Canis lupus familiaris: one gene and its partner. The protein of the gene in region 1 purifies or fractionates together with the protein of each later gene. This does not show direct contact. Links are inferred from orthologs where the notes say so. Each region holds a gene or a part of one and is shown in the gene's direction. Other genes may lie near its edges.

Evidence for each region. Proteins that work in one complex are often made in the same cells at the same time.
Region 2: the proteins of EGFR (region 1) and STAT5B purify together in Homo sapiens (affinity purification with western blotting; 3 studies listed by BioGRID and IntAct, with this or other methods). This does not show direct contact. The link is inferred for Canis lupus familiaris from reciprocal best matches to the Homo sapiens genes EGFR and STAT5B.

What each region holds. Positions count from the first base shown.
Region 1 is NC_049239.1:6,096,428-6,100,926, forward strand, and holds part of EGFR (epidermal growth factor receptor), read left to right. Parts: intron 1-1,354; coding exon 1,355-1,506; intron 1,507-2,359; coding exon 2,360-2,543; intron 2,544-4,499. UniProt on the Homo sapiens protein: Receptor tyrosine kinase binding ligands of the EGF family and activating several signaling cascades to convert extracellular cues into appropriate cellular responses.
Region 2 is NC_049230.1:20,520,835-20,525,560, forward strand, and holds the start of STAT5B (signal transducer and activator of transcription 5B), read left to right. Parts: upstream 1-1,670; 5' UTR 1,671-1,834; intron 1,835-2,139; exon of another isoform or gene 2,140-2,391; intron 2,392-4,726. UniProt on the Homo sapiens protein: Carries out a dual function: signal transduction and activation of transcription. Mediates cellular responses to the cytokine KITLG/SCF and other growth factors. Binds to the GAS element and activates PRL-induced transcription.

The sequences.
Region 1 (4,499 bases):
AGATGCCTGCAAAATAGAAATGTAAATGTGGAAAGAGTCTCCCGGGAAAGTACCTGCGTCTTGACTCTGGCCTTGTTTCGTGTCCAGCCACCTGGCCACCGCTGCGGTCGCGCCTGTGCCCGTGCGGAAGAACCTGGCTCGCGCTGAACCTACCCTCCAAAGCCACAGGCCATATTTCTTCACTCTTACGATAATTTTGGTTCAAAGTATATAGTCCCTTAACAAGCTCCCTGCTTCAAAAGCCCCAGACCTCTTTGTTTGGCTATGCTTGCTGAAACACGTCTTTCAAAGAGCCAGGTTTGTAAAGATGACTTTATTATAATCTCCTGTGCTTTTAAAGATAGACCGACGGCTGTAGTGCCGTAATCTACCTTGGTCCCCTAATTTAAACTGTTTCTTGTACGAAGTTAGAACATGAGGGAGTTCAGCGTGCCAAGGCTGTGTCCTGCCAAAGAATGCAAAGCAGTTGCACCTCCACCTGTTCTGGGAGGATTCGCACGGCGTGTGGACAAACAGAAGCACGGGTTGGCTTCTCAGTTGAGTGTGTTTTGAAATGTATGTTTCCGCGTCATTATTTTCTGGATGGATAATTAGGCCTTTGATTTGTTCTTTGATGCGTTAGTCGAGAAGAATATTTATAATCTCTGGCCAGTTGGATTTTCATCTACACTTTTGCCGTCGATTTTAAGCTGTACAACCTTGTGGTCAGAAAATATCGGCCGGCGTCTGTTACGTTCGTAAATATCCCTCGGACACGCAGTAATGTGATAATTGTATTTTGTAAAGTAAAAAGTTCATTATGGAGGTACTAATTCAACATTGTAATTGCATTATATAAATACCCTATGATACACATTTTTTTTGTCTACTAAAGCTCTAAAAGACTATTTTGTCTTGGGGCACCTGGGTGCAATGGTGGAGCGTCTGACTCTTGGTTTTGGCTCGGGTTGTGATCTCAGGGTCGTGAGATCGATCCCTGGTCAAGCTCTGCGTAAGATTCTCTCTCCCTCTACCCCTCTTCCCTCTCAGACTTGTGCTCTTTCTATCTCTCTCAAATAAATAAATCTTTTTTTTTTAAAAGACTATTTTTGTCTTAAAGATTTTCATCGAATTTCCCCTTGAATTTTTAACATTTCAAATGATTCCGTGCATTATAGGGATGAGCTATCTCTTATCGCAAACTGTATCTTACATACACAAACATTTTCTTGTCGCATTCATCCTAGTGACCTTTTATCAGAATTAAGATTGTAAGTCGCTAAAACTCGCAGTTAGTTGAAATTTGTGAACATTTTATTTTAGTTTTGCTACTTGGCATTTCACGTAAAACCTTTTTTTTCTCCCTTTTTTGCAGTCTGCCAAGGCACGAGTAACCGGCTCACCCAGTTGGGCACTTTTGAAGACCACTTTCTGAGCCTTCAGAGGATGTTCAATAACTGTGAGGTGGTCCTGGGGAATTTGGAAATTACCTACATGCAAAGGAATTATGACCTTTCCTTCTTAAAGGTTAGTTCAGTCAATTTGATTGTCTTACCCAAAGGATAGAAGGAAATATAAGGAGATAAGGACCTTGAGATAATGTAGTTGGAAGTGTATTTGCTTTTGCTACAGCAGTTATGTGTCCTGGGGGAACTACAGATGCAAGTTTTATCAGAAAACCACTTCACCAGCTAGTGTCAAGTCAGAGCTACGAAATAGTGTCAGAGAGAAACAGGCTGGCCTGCTGTTTCACTATCATCAGAGACACTGATATTAAGCATTTAACCATTGCTGTCGCTGTGGTATCCTGGGATATTGGCTCTTTGAGAAAAAGACAAAGTCCTACTTTGTAGCATTTTCCCATTTCCTTGGTGTAAACACTCCCCCTCTAGTTGAATCCCAGCTGCATCGCTCCTTCCATTTCCCACATGTCTCATGGTGGGCTCTCGTGAGCCACCAGGAGCCAGCTCTGAAAGCTTTGGAGTTGGGTGGTAGTTGAACTCTGGGTTTGATTGGCTTTCTGGGTTCTGTGTTGCTTTTTATAAGAAAGTGTGCAAGACGGATACAACACGAATAGATAAAACGATTTCATTTTCTTCTGAGCATAGTGAACACCAAGTGAAACGAGAGTCAGAGCTTTGCTAAATAATGCACGTTGCCCTTTATAATCACCAGCAGGCTCTAGAGGCAGAAGTACCTGAGTCATCGTAAACCCTGTCACCTCCCCTATCCTCACTGTAGTCATCCACCTGCTTTATAGTTGTCAGTCACTCGCGTGCGTGGTTGGCTTAGGTGTTCTGGGCTTTCTTGACCCATTTTAGACCTTGCATATTTGAGCTCTTGACAAGAGAAATAACACATTGACATTTGATCTCCTTAGACCATCCAGGAAGTTGCCGGGTATGTATTGATTGCCCTCAACACGGTGGAGAAGATTCCTTTGGAAAACCTGCAGATCATCCGAGGAAATGTGCTCTATGAAAACACCCATGCCTTATCCGTCCTCTCCAACTATGGCTCAAATAAAACTGGACTGCAGGAGCTTCCCCTGAGAAACTTGCATGGTGAGAGGCCAGGGCACCGGGAGGATGGGGCTGCAGACAGCAGCTCAGACCAAAATATTTTTTAGTGCCACTCAGAGAAGACTTTTATTCATCAAATACAAATGTATTGAGCACCAGCTCTGGGCAAGGTGCAGTAGGTGGAAGTGACTAAGAAGACAGTAGGTGATGGAGAGGGAAGGGAAGTTTTAAACCCGGTACCACTTCTCCTATATTCGTGGGGAAATATTCAGAGAGTGAGTAAGAAATGGTAATGGTTCTGGGACATAGAGACCAGATGACCTTGGCTGAATAAACTGCCAATCCTAATACCTGGACCTCAGGTGTAAGGGACATACATCAAAAACCTCCCCTACTTGGGACAGTCTTCAGAGCAATGCTGTAATACAGAAGAACAGAGGATGACGGTATTGCAGAAGAACTTTGAATTCCTGGGAGTAGGTCCCTCGTGAAGGTCCCTCAAGTGGAAGCTAAGATGATAGAAGGGATAGGAAGTTGATTTAAATAAAATTGAAGATAATGAGGAGCATGCCCTTGCTGTGTGGCAGGTGCAGTGCCCATCCCATTGCATCAGCAACTTCACGCCCACCCTTCAACGCGGGTGTTTACACTCCCACCATCTTACACATAAAGAAATGGTGGTAAAGTCATTCTCCCAAGGTCCCACGTTAGTGAAAAAATGGCCAGGAATGGCCACCAAAGCTCTGCCCCCAGGGTCCTCGCCCTTCCCATGTGCTGTGCGGTTGTGACGGGAAGGGAGCCCATCAGGAAGAGGGGGACGAGAGCAGAGGGTGCGTAACAGAGGGGGTCCTGGGAACGGTAGGAGCCCCACAATGGATGTGCTGGGATGAGGTGATGCATCCAGACCGAGCTCAGAAGCGGCTGGCACAGCCCTCCAGCTGGGCTCCTGGGGTTGGCCATCCTGTAAAACTGCCCGAAGACTTTCCACCCACCACTTTAGCTGCTCAGAACACCCACCCACATGGTCTGCGTTTATGCTAATACTAATTTGTGCTATTTACACGTTTTGCAAAATGGTCTGTACATTGAGCATGCCTCAATCTGCCCGTCTGGCCTCGTGCTATCTCGTGGTGACAGGCAGATGTGGTTAAGAGCATGGACCCCGGAGCCAGGATGTCTGGGTTCTAGCCCTGGCTCTGTCACTCACCAGCCAGATGCCCCTGGAGCAGATCCTCCCTGTGTCTCAGTTTCCTCCTCTTTAAAAAACGTGCATAACAATGGTAACACACTTCCTGGGGGTGTTGAGAAAATTAAGTGAATTTCTGTGGAAAAAGCACTTAGGAGTTATTCCTGTTGTTGGTATTATTTCTGTTGTTGGCATGGGATCACATGAAGGCAGATTATTTAATGTTATTAAATCCTTATTCTATGTGAATTATTTAGTAGTAATGAAGCACCGTTGTTAATAATTAACTCAGTGCCCACCACAAAGTATAAAATCATCAAATACTGAAAGTAAAAATAAAAGTGACTGCTGCCAGACTGATGACCTCTTCCTCTGCCAAGCTACCAGTCAGGGGCACCTGGATCGTCCAGGACCTTTGCTGCCTTCCTTTTACTTCTCACATTTGCAGGTTGTAGGTGTTTTGTAAGGCCCCCCCTTGACCCTCCATCGTGCATTCTCTCCTGGCACCGTGGTCTGTTGTCCTGAGTGTCACAGCAGCCTTAACGCCCCTACGTTGTGTTTCGGGTCTGACCTCTCAGCAGAGATTTATCCTCTTGACTCTGGCTGCCTCCTGACTAAATGTTCTCTCTTGATTGTCCTGCTGTCATCTTTGACTTTCTACCCAGTGCTCCACAATTTGGCCCTTTGGGACCTCCCAGCCTTCCTTCTGTGATTCCTTTGTTCTGCACCATCCGCGGAAGCCAACGCCTGCCTGGCCCTCCGACGTGCGTTTGCTGCAGTCTTCTGGCTGCGGAAAGCCTGCTGCGCCCTCC
Region 2 (4,726 bases), on another chromosome or scaffold:
TGCTCAAGCAGTTGACAGCAAGTCTGGTTTTAGATTCCTTGCTCTTAATTACTACACAGTCCTCCTGATTTCCATTTCTATTCTTAGAGTATAGGGTTTGTTCCTCAAATATTTATTGGGTGTCTGCTCTGGGCTGGGCATGGGATGGACTTAAATGGGATATTGTGTGCTGTCAGGGGTAGAGAGATACATAAACAAGACATTGTCCTTCAACACAAGAGGTGCCACGATCAAGGCATGAACATCATGTGATGGGAGACAGGGAGAGGGAAGTTCTCACTGCCTAGACAGAGGGCAGACATCTAGAGGGCAGGACCACATTCCAGGCAAAGGGAACAGCATGTGTGCAGATGGGAAAACTTACAAGGAGAAATATGGTATACTCAAGTGCCAAAACATCTTGCACAGGGACCATCAGAGGGGTGCCAGAGAGCTCAGAGCTGGTGTTTCCGTCCAGCTTCCTGCTCCAGCCTGTCCTGCTCTAACCTCCAGGTGCCCCGCACCTACTCTGGGCAAAGCACTGTGCCAGGTGTTGGCCCAAAGTGTGGGATAGAAGCAGTTGCCTAGGTGGGGGTGGGGGGGAGGGAGGACTTTGTGATCAGCTACAGACACAAAGATCTTTGTGGTTGGTGCCATTCTGGAGGTAAAGGGAAGGCTGCTGGGAAGAGCTGCCAAAGGAGGTTTATGGGAGAAGTTGGGGCCTTGCAGATCTCGATCATCTCTTGACATGAAGATTTTTCAGACTGTGAGGAAGGAAAGCTCGGTGTCTCTGTGTAAGGTCCTCCTTCTGCCCCTGCAGCTAGGTTTCTGGAGATCTGACACGTCTTGCTTTGGTGCTGGCCCTTGGAGGGTTGCCAGGGAAACGGCTGGCCAGCTCCAGAGATATAGCCAGAAGAGAGGAGAGTGGGTGACTCAGGCTCACAGGACACCACACCCCCTCCCCATTACACGGAAGAGGCTCTCAGAGACCCCTTTCCTCTGGATCTTACAGAGGCGATCGTGTTTATTCTTCCCTTTCTTGGTAGAGCAGTCCTTCCCTCCCCGCAGCTCTGACTGGTGGGAGCTAGCAAGAGTCCCCAGGGAGGGAAATGGTGTCAGACGCCCCCCCCCCCCATTCACTCTGGAACAGTGGACGCATCCAGTTGGCCTGGGCGAGTGTAAACTCCTGCTGTGCCCATTCAGGCTTTCCGCCCGGGGGGTAAGCAGGCAGCCCTGGCTGAAACGCCCTCCAGGGAGCAAACCCGGGATAATTATTGATGGGGCAGCGGTGGACTTCTGACCTGGGCCTGGGAGGGACAGGCCCCGGAACGCGGGCCTCGGCCCGGGGGAAGGGCGGGTGGCGGGCCGCGGAGGGGGGCCAGTCGACGCGACCCCAAGAGTCGGCGGCGGGCGCTGCTCGCGGTGGTCGAGCGACCCAAACAAAGCAGCATGTGCTGGCGGCCCAGTGGGACCCGGCTCGGGGCCCGGGAGGGGCGCCTCTCGCAGCGGCGACAAGGGGCCGCGCGCGGCGCCCGCCCCTCCCCCACGCCGGCGCGCCGGGGGGTTCCGGGTCCCTCCCCGGCGGCCGCGGCCCGGGTGCGAGGGGCCACGGGGCTCACGAGCGCGCGCCGGGCGGAACCAGGAAGCGGCGCGCGCTGGCGCGGGGCGCGCTCGGGCCGCGGTGCGCGAGCGGCGCGCGCGCCCCCGCGGGCCCCGGCGTGAGGAGACACGGCGGCCGGAGCCGTCACCCCGGGCGGGGACCCTGCGCAGGCGGCTACGCGCGGCGGCCCGGCCGAGGGAAGCAGCGAGCGGGCGGGCGGCGGCGGCGGCGGCTGGCGCCCGGAGGGCCGACGAGGTAGGAGCTGCTGGGCGAGCGCTGGGCTCGGGGCCGGGGAGCGAGGCCGGGGAGCCTGCACGGGCGGGGCCCCGCGCCCTGGCCGCCCAGACGCCCGCAGGGCCGCGCCGCCGCCGCCATCGCTCCCCGGGCCGCGGGGGCTGCGCGCCGGGGTCGGGGGCGCGGGGGGCGCCGGGGCACGCGAGGGGCGTCGTGCCGAGGCGGGGGCGGGCGGAGGGGGTCGAGCGGGGGGGCGGTGCGGGCGCGCGTGCCGGGGTGGGCGTGTGAAGGGCCCGGCGCCGACCCCTGCCGGCGGAGGGGGCTGCTGGCGTCCACCCCGCGCCTCCCGGTTGCGGTGCCAGGCAGCCCCTGGCGGCTCCTTGCCTTGCCTCCTGTTTCAGAAGGGGGATCTGCGACTCCCGGGGTGGGATGAGCCCGGGGGTGCCCGGTGGGGTGAGGAGGTGTTAGGCAAGCCTCAAGGAACAGTGCCTTATAAGGAGTCAAGACAACAAATACGAACGTTTCGATCCGGCTCTGGGGTCCGGGATCCCACATCAGGACCCGCCAGGCCCCGGCTGGTGAGTGTGGCAGCGGGATGCGGCATGCTTTGTGTTTTTTTTTTTCTTTCTTTCTTCTTTCTTTCTTTCTTCTTCTTTCTTTCTTTCTTTCTTCTTTTTCATTTTCTTTCTTTCTTTCTTATCTTTCTTTCTTTCTTTTCTTCTTCTTTTTTTTTTCTTTTTTTTTTTTGCTAGCCAGGGATAGTAAAAAAAAAAAAAAAAAAAAAAAAAAAAAAAAAAGCCCTGGTGTCGGGGGTAGATATGGAGAGTCGGAAGGCAAGTCGTGGTGTCACAAAAGCTGGTCTGAGGCTAAAGGAATCTGGCACGATGGTCAGGCTGATCAAAGAAGAGAAAAGAACTTGTGTGGAGCAAGAGGCGTTTGCAAACACTTGTAGCTAGCAGTGATGGAAAAGGCAAAGAAGAAAAACAAGTGCCAGCTTTTAGGAAGATGGGATTAATGAAAACCACAAGAATGTGAAAGGCAGAAACAGAAGGGATCCTTCCCAGTTCTTGTTCTTGTCCCTCGTGAGCCTGTCAGACCTTTGTATCAGATAAATAGTACTAAAAGTGGGTCATAGAATGTTGGAGCTGGAAAGGACCCTGGGATTATGCTACATTCTCTTATTGTACAAATGAGGAAATTGAGGTCCCAGGTAGATGGAGTAAGTGGCCTGCTCTGTTGTCGCAGCTGTTCAGTCCTTCTGGGGCTGAAATGTCGGGTTGAGGACTCTCAGGTCAGTGCTCTGCCCAAAGCACTGTGCAGTAGATATTTACCTAAATACAGTTCCATTAATTGTCGCTGGAATGTCCTCGGGGAATGCCCCTTGGAAGGGCTAGTGTGTCACCAAATTATTAAACAGGTTTATGTCTTTTTTTTTTTTCCCAGTCTTCAAATGGTGTTTATCATCTACTGGTATCTTAGGTTTCCAAAGTGTTTGGATAGCCGCCTGGGCCATAATAAGCTTTCAGCTGTTGCGTATATTATCTCAGATAATTTTGTTATTGTTCAATGGAGATAGCATAACTTTGCTTTTTTTCTCAACTTTCTTGTTATTTGTTTGTTTATATTTATCAGCTAGTAGGAGAGGATGTGTTTTATTTCATGTGCCTTTCATGTTTTTCTAATTTTATTTTGTAACACTGAACATTGGATCAGTTCTGATAATTTCAGATAGTGGAATCCTATTGATTGATTGACTTTTTATCGAGGCTTTGAGTTTTTTGTTTTGGTACCAATTTCCATCTCATGGCAGATTATAGTTGTTAGAATTGATAGTGTAACGGGGAGAAGGGGCTTCTGATTTTAAGAAAAATTTACCATTTGGCAGTTTATGATGTCATGTTTAAGTAAAACACTACACCTTTGGTCAGGTAAGTGTCATCTCGTAGATTACTTGTTTTCCAGAGCCTTTCAGAAGATGAAAATTTCAAGTGCCTGGTTGAGACACAGGGAAGGATTGGAGAGAGCTTTCTTCAAAAAAGCAAAACCTCAGAAAAAAAAAGTTGATTTCTATCACTAGCAGTTTGGTTATTGCATAACTTGGAGCTGAACTACATAAAATCTTTGCTGTATACCCAACTCCATAAATTATCCAGCCTTCTCTCTTGTCCTGGCTTTTTCAGCATTCATGTTTTTGCCAACAGGATATTTTGGATTGTGTTAAGAAATTTAAGGTGGATATATTTCTTCCATGGGTACTTCGTGATATATATGATAGAAAGGGGGGAAAAAGTGCTATCATTGTTTGGAGTGTTACAACATAAATATTTTGGTCAGCACTTCCTATTGTGCCCCAACTTCTCATTTCATCTTCATTTTCTGGCTCTCAATTGATTTTTTTTAAGTGTTATTTACATATGCAGAAACCACATCAAGACTAGTAAAGGGTGCCATTTATTTATTTATTTATTTTTTTTTAAGGGTGCCATTTATTGCTCTTCTGGTACTGATGTCAAGTTTTTCAAGTTATATTAGTGTTAGTATTCAAACTATTTGATTTGTGTTAGGTTTATATTTATGAATGTGCTTGTGGTGGTTCATTTGACTTGTTTTTGTGTAGGTAGGTGATCGAGGTAATCTTATAAAGGGAAGATGTTATAAATAGGTAAATAACATGCAAGATTAGATTGCAAGTTGAAGGTAGAATCAAAGGAAACTTAACTATTCTAGTGCCCTGTAAACATATATGAATCTCAAAAGTGTTCACAGATTTCTGGATATTCTAACTACCAGTGAGACATTTTTGCCTCTCTTGTTAGAGTATAGATTGCCACATTATTCTTACAAAAGGAAGCAAAAACAAAAACCTTCCAGTTTTTATTAATTTGTCTTGAGTATTTGAGTATCTTTTAAAAA